2 linked regions of the Caenorhabditis elegans genome follow. The protein of the gene in region 1 interacts with the protein of each later gene in a pairwise test. Each region holds a gene or a part of one and is shown on either strand. Other genes may lie near its edges.

What was found.
Region 2: the proteins of Y51H4A.8 (region 1) and par-5 interact in a two-hybrid assay, tested with the Caenorhabditis elegans proteins (one large-scale study listed by BioGRID).

The regions. Positions count from the first base shown.
Region 1 is NC_003282.8:16,575,420-16,583,714, forward strand, and holds the start of Y51H4A.8 (DUF4136 domain-containing protein), read right to left. Parts: upstream 3,131-8,295; 5' UTR 3,097-3,130; coding exon 2,887-3,096; intron 2,791-2,886; exon of another isoform or gene 2,770-2,790; intron 2,584-2,769; exon of another isoform or gene 2,562-2,583; intron 2,339-2,561; exon of another isoform or gene 2,315-2,338; intron 2,092-2,314; exon of another isoform or gene 2,070-2,091; intron 1,969-2,069; exon of another isoform or gene 1,887-1,968; intron 354-1,886; exon of another isoform or gene 333-353; intron 210-332; exon of another isoform or gene 189-209; intron 80-188; coding exon 1-79.
Region 2 is NC_003282.8:11,818,494-11,826,622, forward strand, and holds par-5 (14-3-3-like protein 1), read right to left. Parts: upstream 3,425-8,129; 5' UTR 3,405-3,424; coding exon 3,315-3,404; intron 3,267-3,314; coding exon 3,096-3,266; intron 3,031-3,095; coding exon 2,839-3,030; intron 2,792-2,838; coding exon 2,498-2,791; intron 2,396-2,497; 3' UTR 2,332-2,395; intron 2,288-2,331; 3' UTR 2,013-2,287; downstream 1-2,012. Other genes in the region: M117.1 (Major facilitator superfamily (MFS) profile domain-containing protein), read left to right, coding at 1-74, 296-570, 621-727, 780-943; M117.3 (14-3-3 domain-containing protein), read left to right, coding at 5,023-5,109, 5,155-5,445. UniProt on the Caenorhabditis elegans protein: Required to modulate lifespan, in concert with hcf-1, acting redundantly with 14-3-3-like protein ftt-2.

The DNA of each region.
Region 1 (8,295 bases):
CGTTTGGAGGCGAGAATGTGATGACTGGTGGGTTTATGTCGTTTAGGGGGATACTGTTGGCTTGCAATACGTCGTTGATCTGAATTTTTTGAATTTTTAAACTTTTTTGGTATTGTATAGTGTTTTTAGTGTTTTAGCGCTCTACTTGGTTCCATTATTATACAAGTTTTGAGCAGATAATTTTTTTTGGTTCGTATGGACAAATTTTAGCAAGCTCTCCGAAATATAATCTGGTAAATGAAATATTTGAAACAGTTTTTTTTTGATAATGGGTATAAATACTTTGTGGCTTATTTTGAAACTTAATGTTTCAGACTTATTTATCTTTAAAAAAGAATTCAAAAGATCGACAAACGAATTAATTTTATACAACCTGAAAAATGAAATATTTGAAACAGTTTTTTTTTATTGATAATGGGTATAAATATCAGGTTGTCCCATAAGTTTTTGTACTATTTTTTTTTTTGAAAAAAATTTATTTCTCTCAAGCGACAAGTAGTACTATTCACACAAGTATTCACCATTAGTGTCCACCACTTGTTGCCATTTACTAGGTAACATCATGATGCCACGGGAGAAGAAATCCGGCGAACGCGATGAGAAGAAAGTGGAGAGTTCAGTTTTGAGATGCTCTTCGTCGTCGAATTGCTTGTCGCGCATGTAGTCACTGAGAGACAAGAACAAATGGTAGTCGGTTGGTGCAAGATCTGGAGAATATGGTGGATGCGGTAAAACAGTCCAACCAAGATCTTGCAGCTTTTGGAAAGTCTTCTTGGCGACATGAGGCATAGCATTATCGTGAAGAAAATATAGTTTTTCATATTTTCCGTTGGTCTTTTCTGCAACTCGGTCCAATTGGGCACAATAGTAATCAGCAGTGATAGTTTTATTAGTTGGCAACAATTCCCAGTGCACGGGTCCTTGAACACCCCACCAGACACAGATCATTATCTTTTTTGGGTGAAGATCAGGCTTTGGCGTCGGTATTCCTTTCTCACCGATCGGAAGCCATTGACGTTTTCTGGAATGGTTAACATAGAGCACCCACTTCTCATCTCCAGTAACCAGATTGTTCAGCCAATCGAACTTTCGACGAAAAGTTAGAAGTTGAGTACAAACGTTGACCCGAGTGAGCTTCTGTGATGCCGAAAGTTCATGAGGCACCCAAATTCCAAGTTTTGAAGTAAAACCAAGGCGACCCAAGTGACGTGCAATTGTGCTATGACAACACTCAAGCTTCTCTTCCATTTCACGAAGACTAAGACGAGGCTCTTCCTCCACCAGCTTCACTAGGTCTTCTTCATTTAACTCTACCGGTCGCCCAGAACGTTCTATTTCTTCGAGACTGAAGTCGCCGTTCTTGAACTTTTGAAACCAACTCTTTGCTGTATTATAAGAGAGTGCTCCCTCACCCATCGCACCGCATATGTTTCGTTCCGCTTTCATTGCTGAATGACCAAGACGAAATTCATAAAGAAGAAGCAATCTAACGTCTCGACGTTCAAGTTTGATGATTGTCATCGTGGCAAAGTAGAAATGGATGAAATGAATCTTTTCTGGAAGGGGACGACCCGACCTTGACACGACCTACGATGAAAAAATTTTAAAACTTTCTAGAAGTTTTGGAAAAATATTTGAAAAAAAGTACAAAAACTTATGGGACAACCTGATACTTTGTGGTTTATTTCAAAAATTAATGTTTCAGATTGTTATCTCTAAAAAAAATAATTCAAAAGTGATAACAAAATAGATTTAGTGGTAGGTAGACACATCTCTAGGCTCTTCTCTTTCAGCATACTTTTTTCAGTCATTTCTCCGCTCAAAATGTGCGAACAACACAGCCATTTGCGGTAACGAAAACACCCCAACCAGCTCTCCGAAACCGGGCTGCGATGTCCGAGCGGTTAAGGAGTTGGACTTGAAATCCAATGGGCATTGCCCGCGTAGGTTCAAATCCTGCTCGCAGCGAATACTTTTTGGAAAATATTCCGAATTAAATCTACAGGCTTTTAAATAAATTTTTTAACTCATTGACCGCGCACCTAGTATGTCGCTTTTGAGTGATTTATCAGTTTCTAGGAGAGAACAGAATTATTTCGATTATTTGCAATTGGCTATATCAGTATAGTGAAACAGTGAGAATTTTTTGTGTTAACACAATGAAAATAGAAAGATTGTAATATAATCATGCATTTGTACTATAGAATATAACATGTTTCTACAAAATAAATTTTCAATAAAACGTAAAAATTTTATTTGTAAAAAAGTATGTTTTATAATATTCTTATTAGCTCACTGTTATCTTACTAGGGAGTGTTTCAACTCTACGGTGCCTAAAAAGTTATTATTATTGTTTTCGTCAAAAAAAAAATTGCCTCCGAATTTTATGGCCCACTTATGGGTTTTTTTTCAATTATTGTAGAGATTGGAATATGCTATACTTTTCTTTAAAAGTGGCAAAAACGTAGTAATTGGCACTTTTCGAAAAAAAAAAGAAAATTTCAATAAAATTTTTAATGTTTCAAAAGTATTTCATTAAACTTTTTATGAATCGCTTTTTATTGAATAGGCTGGCTTGATGGAAATTAAGAAAATATATGGCTTTTCATCAAAACTAGACTAGAATTTATAAAGCTTCTGAGAATTTCAAATTTTTTTCAAATAATAATGCAACCGTTAAACATTATGCGATGTGTTGCCATTTCACATTCTTTTATAAATTTGGCAAAATTATCCACCACCATAGTTGGACATTTAATAATTGGACTTTTAATAAATGCAATTATACGAACTCCAAAGAAAACTGTAGCTGTTCATAAAAATTTTGTGAAACAGTAGAAATTTTTTCTGTATTGGGATTTTTATTTAAAATTGCATTTAACTCACCGCACTCTGCACATCCGACACCACAACTCGCTGAGCATAGGCTTGATCAAACTGTCCGTTTTCAAATTCTGCTAGAGAATCATAGGTGTATAGAGCAGGAGGGTTCATTTCATAGCTGAATGTTCCCTTGGAGCCCAGCGTTCCGGTACCCGGAGCACAGGCTCCGGCTGTGGAGATGAAAAAGCAGAGGAGCAGTAGAATTTTAAGCATTTTGAAGGTTCAAATCACAAAAGTTAAAAGTGAAGTTTAAACCTTACCTCAATCCTTTTTTATACCGTTTCCTTAACCTTTGCCCCACAATAGCTTATGTTTGTTTCGATTTGCCAAAAATGTTTATATTTGTCATAGTTATGGCATCATTTTATTACTGATTGTTAACACTTTTTCTTGTGGGTGGGTGTGCCAACAGTAAGAATAGGTAAAGCATACTAAGCGGGGGTAAAAGGGAACTCGTAAAAATTTGAAACCCAAAGATCGAAAAATTGTCAAACAGCCGTTACTAAAATTTGTTTGAAGGCTGAAACTGAATTTTTTTTTTGTTGCAAATTTTGAAGATTTTGTTCCTGGATTCGATTTGAAAACTTTAAATACAATGAAAATCCAAAAATAGGTGGAGCCTATTATTGATTATACTTTTATCGGAAGCTTCTGGTTTAATTTTAAATTGTTTTACACGTTTGAAAGCGGATCACTATCAGAAATAGATCAAAATGTGATGAAAAGTTTTATACGCACGCGGTGAAACGGTAAATTTCGAAATTCAGATTTTTCGATTTCTTATCAATTTTTAAAGTCATTGATGGAGGAGTAGCGCCAGTGGGGATATCATTTAAAAAAACACTCCAAAAAACTCAAATTTTTTACAACTTCCAGTCAAAGTTTTGGCAAAAAAAATTGTAGGAAGTTTTTTTTTGATCGACTTATAAAATTATGAGTGGCAAAATTTGAGTAATAGTCACTTTTTACAGTGAATTTTTAAAAATCCAATTTTTTTTCAAAAAGTTTTACCTTTAAAAAAATGTAGATGCTTTCTTTTAAACCATTGTGTTACTATTAGATTTTTTTCCTATAACAAGACAGTTTTCTGTAAAAACCACCATAGTCACTATTCCAACTTAAGAGGTTTTGCTTACATTTGACTACTTCTGGCAGATATTAATTTCCTGGTTACGTTTCAATTTTTTTAATTACCAAAATACAATTTGAGCGTATGAATAAAACCCAATTTACAAAGAGTATAATAAAAGCATGTTGAAACAATAAAAATTTTAGAAAATTTTTTTTTTCCGAAAAGCGCCAATTATTAAGTTTTTGCCACTTTTAAAGAAAACTATCCCTAAAATAATTGAATATTACCGTTTGAAACATAAAATTCGGAGGAAAACATTTTTTTTTCAACGATTTCCAAATAAGTGCCTAACAGAATGGTTGCCATTTTTGAAATAAAATAAACAACATTTTCAAAAAAAGTTTTGAATAGTTTTACTTTTTTTGAATTTAATGTTTTAAATTAATTGTTTTGAATCATATCATTGAAATTTTAAGATCTTTCTCATGAAAAAGTTCTGAAATAATAACTAAAATATCAGTGACGCAATATAAATATTGTGAAACATAATTTTTATAAGTACAATTTTTCTGTAGAATTGTTGTATTCCATAGTACAAATCATGATTATATTTGCCTTACAACCATTCTCGCTACATTGTGTTAACACAAAAAATTTCTGACTGTGTCACTATGCTGATATAGGCAACTGCAAATAATCTGAATGGACACGATTTAAAAATATTTTTTATTTAAAACAATTTCAAATAACTGATAAATCGATTTAACGCAATAGGTTAATGTTCGGTGCGGTCACTACTCCAACTTAAGAGATTTTGCCCAAATTTGATTATTAGGTCGTTCAATAAGTTTTTTCGTTTTTTTCTAGTTTTGGTTTTTTCTTGGATAATATTTTGCGGTTGTATAGAAGACTGTTAGTAATAACAAGCCCAACAATATCAGCCATATCGGTCAACTTCCAGATTATTTAAAACTCAGAACTATGATGACGAAAAAAAAATTTTTTTTCGAATTTTTTCATTTCTTTGTGAAATCAAAAACTTTGTATGCGTAGAGGTATAAGACAGTTAGTTAAACAAAACTAAAACATTTCAGAACCAGGCATAGCTTATTGGTAGCGCTACATCTGTTGGAAGTGTCGAAAACGCTTGCAAAATTGACTTTTTCATGTTTGAGCGGTGCTAACTTTTAAACCATGAGAGATATACAAAAGTAATGTATCACAGCATTAATGTACACATCATCAGCTACATTTTATCAGTATGTTACATTGTTGTCCCTCCTCACGTTTCTGAGTTACAGTCGATAGAAATGAGCTTGGTCCAATTTTCAAAAAACCCTAATTTTTCACGTTTTCGCCTGTAACTCCGAAATCAGGTGCCTGATTAAAAAACTTCAAATTAAAAATAAAGTGATTTTAAATTATAATCAGGTACACAGTTGACCGTTTTGTCATATCATATGTGGGCAAAGATATGAACGGTCAACAAACAAAAAATGCATGATCGAAAAAATATAGAAAAATATTGCAAAAAACTGTTTTACTCTTTCCGAAAAGAACATGAGCGTTTAAAAACACATTTAATATTTTGATTACTAATTAGGCTATCATAATCAAAAAACAGTTAGAGGTTATCTTGTAAAAAAAACTGTTGGATTTTTTTTCGATGTTTTTTTTTGAAAATTTTCTAAAATTTCCGCAACTTTTCTTTGACAATTCATATCTTTGCCCACATATGAGATATGACAAAACGGTCAACTGTGAACCCGATTATAATTTAAAATCACTTAATTTTTAATTTGAAGTTTTTAATTAGACGCCTGATTTCGGAGTTACAGGCGAAAACGTGAAAATTAGGGTTTTTTGAAAATTGGACCAAGCTCACTTCTATCAACTGTAACTCAGAAACGTGAGGAGGGACAACAATGTAACATACTGATAAAATGTAGCTGATGATGTGTACATTAATGTTGTAATACATTACTTTTGTATATCTCTCATGGTTTAAAAGTTAGCACTGCTTAAACATAAAAAAGTCAATTTTGCAAGCGTTTTAGGCACTTTAAACAGATGTAGCGCTACCAATAAGCTATGCCTGAGTCTGAAATTTTTCAGTTTTGTTTAACTAACTGTCTTATACCTCTACGCATACAAAGTATTTGATTTCACAAAGAAATGAAAAAATTCGAAAAAAAATTTTTTTTTTTCGTCATCATAGTTCTGAGTTTTAAATAATCTGGAAGTTGACCGATATGGCTGATATTGTTGGGCTTGTCATTACTAACAGTCTTCTGTACAACCGCAAAATAATATCCAAGAAAAAACCAAAACTAGAAAAAAACGAAAAAACTTATTGAACGACCTAATAATTATGCCAGATATTAATTTCCTGGTTTTGTTTCTACTCATGATACAAAATATTATCAACAAAAGATAAAGGGTACATCCAAAAATCAAAAGATCGAAATATTGCCAAACAACCGTTACAAAAATTTGTTTGAAAAGATTTTTTCACAGAACATTCGATTGGAAAACTTCAAAAACAAAGAAAGCCCAGAAAAAGGCGGAGCCTATTATCAATTTTATTTTTAAAGGAAGCTTTCAAATTAATTTTTATATGTTGCTAATGTATGCAAAAAGATCATTGACGAAATCGGAAGAAAATTTTTATACACACGCGGTCAAACAGTGAATTTCTCGACAAATTTAATCACCAATTTTCAACGTAATTAATTAATTTTTAAAAAGTTAATAACACGAAAAACACACAATTAACCAAATAAAAGTTGCATTCCAATTTTTTTTTGGTCGGAAAATGAAAAAAAAAGTGATTAAAGTTGCAGTAGCGCCAGTGAAGAAATCATTTTAAAAAACTCTGAAAAAATTCAATTTTTTCAGAACTTCCAGTCAAAGTTTTGGTAAAATGCCAAATTTTTGAAAAAATATGCGTTTTGGGGAGATCCAAAATTTTTCGACCCCCAGAAAGTATCAATACAAAATTAAGGTATGCAAAAATCGTAGGAAAATTTTTTTTGGTCGACTTCCAAATCATTATTTTTATGTAACAAGACGTCTTCTGTATATTACCAACAAAAGATAAAGAGTATAATAAAAAAATGTTGAAACATTCAGAATTCAATTGTGACGCCTTTGGTCCCAAAATGACCAAACATCATAGTGAACCTTTTAAAAAACAATATTTAACTTTTTTGCCACTTTTTGAGAAGACTTTGTGTAGTATGATCGAATCCCTATAACAGTTGAATGTAACTATTTGAAACAGCAGTAGACCACTAAATTCAAAGAATTTTTCAAATGAAAAAGTGACAAAACCTGGGTGGTGATAGAGGCTTTTCGAAACACAAATAATTAATGAAAATTTAAAAAATTTTCTAAACATTTTGAGATCTTAACGTGAGCTAATAAGAATATTATAAAACATACTTTTTTACAAATAAAATTTTTACGTTTTATTGAAAATTTATTTTGTAGAAATTTGTGTTCCATAGTACAAATGCATGATTATATTTGCCTTACAACCATTCTCGCTACATTGTGTTAACACAAAAAATTTCTGACTGTTTCACTATGCTGATATAGGCAATTGAACATAATCTGAATGTTTTTGACACGCTATAAAAATGTTTTTGACACGCTATAAAATTCAAAATAACTGATAAATCAATCAAAAGCAATAGGTAAAAGTTCGGTGCGGACACTATTCCAACTTAAAAGATTTTGCTCAAATTTGGCTACTTATGCCAGATATTGATTTCCTGGTTTTGTTTCCAATCATATTACAAATATATTATCAACAAAAGATAAAGATTATAATATAAACATGCTGAAACAGTAAACATACAATTCACTGCGGATCTGGGATTCAGGTACACTGCCTGGTGGTGCTCCTACTGGAATATAATATAAGCCACGTCTTAGCCGAGGACTGTGGCCGAATGAAAATTTTATTGACAAAATCATTGTTAATTAATTGTCTTAAAGTAGATTCTAAACAACAACAATAATAACTAAGATAATAGTGAGCTAATAAGAATATTATAAAACAAACTTTATTTATATGTAAAAATTCTTTTTGCCAAATTTTGTATTCTATAGTACAAATTCATTATTATATCAGCCTTACCATGTTCCTTGCTACATTGTGTTAACACACAAAAATTCTCACTGTTTCACTATGCTGATACAAGCAATTGCAAATAATCAAAATGTTTTTGCACGGTTTCGTATTAAAGCTCAAATTTACTGATAAATCACTCAAAAGCAAAATACTAGGTGCACGTTCAATGAGATACAAAATTTATTTAAAAACCTGTAGATTT
Region 2 (8,129 bases), 4.8 Mb from region 1:
CCGATATTTTTGCCAGTTTTGTATTTCTTGTATATGGTGCACAATACTATCAATACCTCGGAATGGATATTCAGGTAAATTTGTGTTCAGGCACGTCGGGGCAAACTTAATTTTCCACATCCAATGAACAATTCTATGACATTTGGTACCTGTAGCGACTACAATGGTTGAGAGCGTGGCGAGACCCACTGAGAAAAACAGCGTGTGCCTTTAAAGTGCCATGTCAAAATTTCACGAAATTGCAATAAAGACCGATATTGCACCGATATTTGCCCTCAATTTTGTGAATTTCCAGGCTAATGCATGGCTGAATTCCATGAAAGGTTATCTATTCATCGGTGTTCGAGTATTCGCCGGTATCGCGTCCGATCGTATTCGTACACTGCCGGAAAAGTCAAAGTTGCGGTTATTCAACACGATCTCATTGCAAGTACCCGCGTTTTTTCTCATGCTCGTAGTCTTGCTGCCACGCGAGCATCCATATCTACACGTCATCTGCATCACTTTCTATCAGGCTTCATTCGGGTTCAATTGTGGAGGATTCTATAAGGGCGCCGCTTTGATATCAAGGTAAGGCGATTTAAAAATTAATTTGAAATTTCAAGAATGAACATTTTCAGACAATTCTCTTACTTTGTCATCGGGTATATTCAATTGTTCAAATCGTTAGCAACACTGCTCGAACCTGTTCTTTTTTCTCTTCTTGTGCTTCCGGGAAGTGAAGATTGTAAGTATCAATTCATTCTCTTTCTAAACTAAACCTTTTTCAACACTTTCAGCTGAACTCTCATGGACCAGCTACTTCCTGATCCATGCTTTAACACTTACAGTAGCCAACACAGTCTATGTTCTCCTAGCTCGTTCAGAACCAGCCGACTTTGTGTTGAACGCTGAATTAGAGCTCAGCAAGCCTCAGCTTCCCTGCGAAACTTCAATCAATTAATTATTTAATAAATTATTCATATCAGTGTTCACATAATTGAAAAGAAAAGACGATTACCAGCTTATCCGGGTGTTCACTCAAATATGGATCTCGAATAAGACACGTGGTGTCAGGTTGCCCCATAACGGTATGATCTACAAAAATGCGGATAACTTTTTCTCAGAAAAATGTGACGTCAGTCTACGTCTCAACTCCCGCATATTTCGAAGTTCAAACCGACATGGGACATTCTGACACCACGTGATAATACTCATAAATAGTACTTTTTTGAACTTTGGGTTATTGAATTTAACTTATACGGAAAATAAAATGTAATTGCAATTGACATCTTTTTTCAACATGGGGCAACTGCGCAGTCCATAAAAATAGTCATTACATTTTAAAGATTTTAAATTGATTAAACAACGTGACATGTTTTTTCATCCACAACGCTGAAAATTGTTGGCTCAAAAGCTCGAAATCTGCCGAAAAGCACAAAACACATCCATCGTTATTCCGTATGATCACATACAATCGGCCACTTTGAAGATATATTGAAGAAAAATGTATTTCCAAATGTTTCTCAATCGGTCTCGTCATGATCTGTGAAAACACATGAAGTCTCCAGAATTAAGTTTTTTTCCGAAAATTATATTGCCCAGGAGCGAAATTTTGAGCTTTTTGCGCCAAAAGTACGGTACTTAGTCTCGACACGTCTAATATTTGTTGAACGCAAAAAGGTGTGAGTCTTTAAAGAGTACTGTAATTTTAAACTTCTATTGCTGCGGAATTTTTATCGATGTTTCATAGTTTTTCGACAAAGAATATATTTATTTTCAAAAGAACACTCAAATGTTACCATAAAACACTTAATTTTTAACGAATCGTGGAAGAAACTATCAAAAAATTTTCGGCAGCTTAAAGGCGCACACTTTTTCACATTTCATTTAATTTTTCGTGTTGAGACCTTCTAAGAGGTTAATGCAAATGTTTTATCCTATTTATGCTCCTTCATCGAAATCTGAAAATAAATTCCATTCCATTACTCGAAAAACTCCTGGAAAGTTGTGATGAAATTCGGACAACCGGAAAAGTTCACCAAACATTTATGTTCAAAAAGATCTAAAAATAAAGATCGGGGATAATAAGAGAAAAATGGAAGATGGGGGTTCATTATACTTTACAGCACATAATAATCATAGAACAATACGCCATTTTAGGAATGACAATAGTGACGGAGTGAATTACAGCGAAATAGAGCATGAAGAGAATTATGGCTTGGAGATCTAGAGCACTTGAAGACCGAATTTTCTTTCATGATGCTATTGCGCAGTGTTGTATGGAGTATTGGTGAATACGTTAAGTCTAAAACAAAAACGGTGATTAGGCAACTCTCTCGGCTAACGTACCGGAAATGTTGGAGGATAACTGAAAGTTGAAGAGATGCGAGGAAAGAGAACGGAGTTCAGCTCTCTGAAAACCGAAACTATTTTTTCGAAGCAAGATTTGATGTGAAAGGAAAAGAGGAAAAAGGTCAGCTTTATATAATGGCAATAAAACATTTTGAAATCGTACTTAGTTTCCAGCTTCCTGGTTTCCCTCCTGCTCTTGATCTTCAGCTCCAACGTCAGATGTCCAGAGAGTGAGATTGTCACGTAGAAGTTGCATGATCAAGGTCGAGTCCTTGTACGAATCCTCGTTCAACGTGTCGAGCTCAGCAATAGCATCATCGAAAGCCTGTTTCGCGAGTTGGCAAGCGTGCTCTGGAGTGTTCAAGATCTCGTAGTAGAAGACAGAGAAGTTGAGGGCAAGTCCAAGGCGAATTGGGTGGGTTGGCTGCATCTTGTCCTTAGCGATATCAAGAGCCTCCTGAAAGTCATGCCATTTACATCAAGAATTTAGTTATTTTCAAATACCTGGTAAGCCTTCTGGGACTTCTCAACAACGGCAGCGCGATCCTCTGAAGCGACCTCGGCGAGGTATCTGTAGTAATCTCCTTTCATCTTGAGATAGAAGACCTTCGACTCAGCAGCTCCAGCCTTGACAATGAGGAACTCGTCGAGGAGCTTGAGCACATCTTGGCAGATGTCGTTGAGTTCTTGCTCAACCTGAAATAATGTAAATAAGTTACTAAAATTCTTGAAATTAATAAAATCTTGCTTGGTGTAGTTACCTTGACGCGGTATTCCTTGGCGAGTTGTTGCTTCTTCTCGGATCCCTCGGTCTTTTGCTCAATGGAAGAGATAACTCTCCACGATGAACGGCGAGCTCCGACGACGTTTTTGTAGGCAACAGAGAGAAGGTTACGCTCTTCGTTGGAAAGCTCCTGTCCCTGCTCGGTCACCTGAAAAATAGTAAATTTGAAACCTCCGTAAATGATGTTTTATCTTACTTTCTTCATGGCGGCAGCCATATCATCGTATCGCTCGGCTTGTTCGGCAAGCTTGGCGCGTTGAACGAGCTCTTCCACGGTATCGGACATTTTTTCAGTGAGCAAGTCTTCTGAAACAAAATTTATAATGAAATATTGAGAACGAAAAGAGAAGAACATAGGCGAGAGTAATAATCGAAACGGAGAGCCCTAGAACATTCGAAACAGCCCGCACGACGTTTGAAAGAAGAAAAATCGATGGACAGCAGTGCCGGCCGATGAGAGAGCGCGTGCCGCCGCCGTCGCATGACAACAACTAAAGTGGGCAACGCACACTCACTCAATTTGTGTCTGTCCGTCTTTTTCTCTGGCGCACACATTCGCTCCTCATATATAGCATTGTCTACACAAAAAATTTCAGATTTTTTGGGCATTTGATAAGAAAACACGGGAATAGAAGGATGAATGGCAGTGGTGACAACGGGCGCAGCAAGCACACTAATCTTTCGGTGAGCACGTTACACAAAACTCAGGAGGTTTCGTCAGGACTTTTACCTGAACAACGCAAAAAAATAATTTTCGAGAATTGCTAAATCGTGTTGGTGGGGATTAGGATATAATTAAAGAAAAAATCACTATTTTGGGCCAACATTTGAAAATCGAGGAAGAAATCAGAGGAAATGATAGCTTTTAGACAGAAAATTGAGGGCAAGAGGAGCATAAAAGCGAGAAGGATAATTTTACAAAAAAAAATTGTGATGAAATGAGCATTGAATCGTTGAATTCTAGAAGAAACCAGCAACAAATTCGCGGAAATTCCGCGGTTCGAATACGTTTTTTCGCGGGGCTTCTTTTTTCGCGGCGAAATATCGCGCAGAGGGAATAGCTTGCGCCTTTAAAGAAAATGGCGGTTCATTCGAAAAAAAAAGGCTCTGCGTGTTAAAACATGTTATGAAACGACAGAAATTTCTTTTTTTCTAGAAACATGAAATTGGAGAACAGTAATCGGTTGGAAGTTCTCCGACCGCCGTCGTTCAAAGCATTATCAGTGTAACAGTGAATGCAGTTTAAATTGATAAGTTTTCCATGGAGAATCGAAAAAATTGGTTGCAAAATATATTCTTTTTACAAAGAAGATTGTAAGCAATTTTTAAAAATTTTTGAAAAACGTTTAAACGAAAAATGCATATAATATACGGTTGAATGAAGAAAAAGAAAAGATCGAGCAGCGAAATGAGCGAATCTTTGGGTTTCTACATGAAATCTGACGGAAAATGAATATTTAAATGAATCTACACAAAAAGCGTGCACTGTTCAGCGGAGCATTATTGCGCGGGAACATTTAACGTTTCGAAAATGCCTCGAGTTCGCAAATGAACATCGCGATTTCAAGCTGAAATATTTATAAAATCGGGGAAGGTTTTTTTTAAAATTTGTTGACATCGGGGGATTGGCCACGCCCATAGAACCGTGCGGAGGTTGCAAAATTTGATCGTGGGCGTGGCCCGTCCCACAGATTGGGTTCCCCCGATCCGAATCCCTCGCCGCCGTTAATCGTCCGATTCGTCTGGTCTCAAGAATAGTAGTATTTGAATTGCCGCGAAACCGTACTCCACGCCACTATTCATCAAACTATATCAAACTATATATCAAACTATTTTTGAACTGCCCCGCCTGTTTGGCTTGAGACTATGCGCTAAATGATGAAACTAAGGCTCTCTTCGGTGGCATGGTCGCCGACCATTTTAGGTATCTGGTCCAATACGACGATATCAACAGAGAAGAGCATGCACACAAGTCGCGAATCGCTTATCAGGTATTTGAATAACTAAATTCTTGATGTAAATGAAATGACTTTCAGGAGGCTCTTGGTATCGCTAAGGACAAGATGCAGCCAACTCACCCAATTCGCCTTGGACTTGCCCTCAATGCAAGCGCCTTAAACTTCGATGTCCTGAATCTTCCCAAAGAAGCCAACGAAATTGCACAGAGTGCTCTTGATAGTGCTCATCGCGAATTGGAGAAGATGAAGAGCTCACTGGATTCGTACGATATCTCGAACTTGAAACGTGCTCGTACACTTTACGATCTATTGAAGAGTACTCACGAGCAGCGTGTCGACGGAAAAGAAGGAGAAGAGGCTGATAATTGAAATTTTTCTGGATATTCAATTTTTTTTCGCAGTGAAAAAACATGTTTCTTATGATTTTTTCTTGAGAAAACAAGGGAATATGCTGAAACGCATTCATTTTTTGAAGTAGGAGCGAGTGATGGTGGTAATGAGGGTGGAGAGGACTTGAAGTCCAGGTCGTCTTCTTCGGTGGGTGGCGTCGGTTCGGGGCAAACCCTCATTTACTAGCGTGCTCCTTCACTTGAACGCTCAATCCCTAACGATGGCTCAATCCCTTTGATGCTCAGCATCATTATTGCTTATATTTTAAAAAAATACAGTTAGTCTGTCCGGACTCCGGAGTTTGTAGTGTATGCAGGCTTTGTAGTGTGCAAAGTTTTGGATTATCATTTACTATATATACAAAGCGCTTATTCCGTTTGTTCATAGTTTGTATGTAGTCTTTATAGTCTGCGAAGTTTTAGCTTCTGGAGGGATTGTGAGTTGGGGTTAGTGTACAGATATAATCGGAGTACTGTAGTATTACAATAGTGATACGGTAGGAGTACTGTATGATTACGGTAGTTTCAGAAAAATTACTTTTCAGCTCCAGAAGTCGGGGGCCGCGCCGGAGGTGCGGTCCACGGTTGGTAAAGGGATATTGGTTTAGGGTTAATGGAGTGACATGGTCGGGGTGCTGTAGTAGTACTGTAGAGGTACTGTAGAGGTACTGTAGGAGTACTGTAGGATTACTGTAGATTTTATACTGTAGACACATCGTGGTGAGACCTTCTGGCGAAAAATTCAAATTTCCTGAGAATAATTTTGGCGGGAAGTTTAAATTTTCTGAAAAAGTCATTTTAGCGGGAAATTCAAATTTTCTAAAAAACATTTTGGCGGGAAATTCAACTTTTCTGAAGAATACTTTTTTGGCGGGAAACTTAAATTTTCTGAATAAAAAACATTTTGGCGGGAAATTTAAATTTTCTGAAAAAAACTTTGGATGTTCAGAACACAATTTCAGTCAAAAACCTGAGGTATAGTTGAACATGTTCCAAAATCGAGTTCACTTTGGATGCTTACATCTCCGTGGAAAAAATTTTATGGCAAAGTTGTCAACTACAAAGTTGATTATTTTAATCTGAAGTACAACTTTTTAGTTGATGGTTTTTCATCAAAAAAAATTGGTGGTCGAGATAAAGTTGTGAGAAATGCAGCAGTATTGTATATACATCCCAGAATCACTTTGAGTTATTAATTCCTCAACTGAATAGATAACTAACTTTTTCACTAAATGGTTTTCATTAGAAAATCTAAAAAAAGACATCTAAAAAAACAGTGTCATTTGCTAAGTTTTGAGTGTACCTTCACCACTGTGAGCCCTAGTGGCAATTCAAAAATTTAATTTTGCGAATAAAAAAATTTCGAAAAAATATAATTTTAGAACAGTATCATTTTCCAAATCTTTTGGGGCAAATCATTTCTTCATATTTATCTTCCCATTTTCCCACCAGGGCTGGGACTTTTTCGAAATTCCATTTTCGAAAACGAAAACGAAAATTTTCGTTTTAAAACACGAAAACGAAAACGAAAACGAAAATGGCACAAACTGTACTTACGGTTTTTAGACCATATGTTGCCTCAAAAGCTTTTTTGTTGGCAAATACTTATTTAATTCTCTCTCATTGACTTACTTTGCTCATTAACTCACTTTTTCAAAAAAGATGCATATGTAAATAATATGATAGGACGTTTCTTTGTTCAGAGCTCCAAAGAATGTTGGGCTGCCTTACCGAAAGTATTGAATTTGGCTAGAAATTTATTCAAGCAGGAAATACAACTTTTTTCTGCAATATCTAATAGTAAGAAATTTTTGATGATACTTAAAAATTTTTGTTTTTTTTTTGTTTTGAAAACAATTTCCGATGTCGAAATTTTTTCAAACTTTTTATTCGAAAACTTTTCACAAATTACCATATATTCTTTATTAGTGCTGCATCTCCAGTAGTACTGCAGTCTCTAATAGTGCTGGATTCGAAAAGCGCCTGGAAATTAGTGTTACATGCAGCACTGATAGAGAATATACGGTAATCAGATATTAGTCAAAAAGTGCCTAATTTGTTATTTCTTTAATTAAAATGTTCAAAACACGATTTCAGATTAAAAATTGAGCTACAGTAGAATCCTTATTTTCGAAAAAGGCATTAAGTTCTACATCCTATATATAACTCAGCGGAAAAAAGTATGTTTTAATGACCAATTAACAAATCGTTTGAACAAGGAAACGTCCTGTCATAAAATGAATGAATCTATTTTGACGTAAAAGAGTCGTTTAATTTTTATCCAAAACTGAGAACTGTTGCATTTTTTGTTCTTAAAGTTGATCTTCAGTAATAAGTTTGAGGAGAAAATAATTGATTTTTCAATACTATCCACACCGGAGAGCAAAATTTCGGCGATAGTTCCAAAAAAAAATGAGAAAAAACCAAGTTTAAATAAAGTCGTTCTATTTTCGTTTTTCGAACACTTTCGAAAACGAAAACGAAAAAATTCGTTTTCGTCAAAACCCCGAAAATAACGAAAAAACGAAAACGCGAAAACGAAAAAGTCCCTTTCCCACTCCATTTCAAACTTTTTTATTGCATTTTTTTCTCGTCCTATTTTCTGTCGATTTTTGCCCATTTTTTCCCAACCGTTCCCCGCGTTCTCCTCCTTCTCTTCCTCTT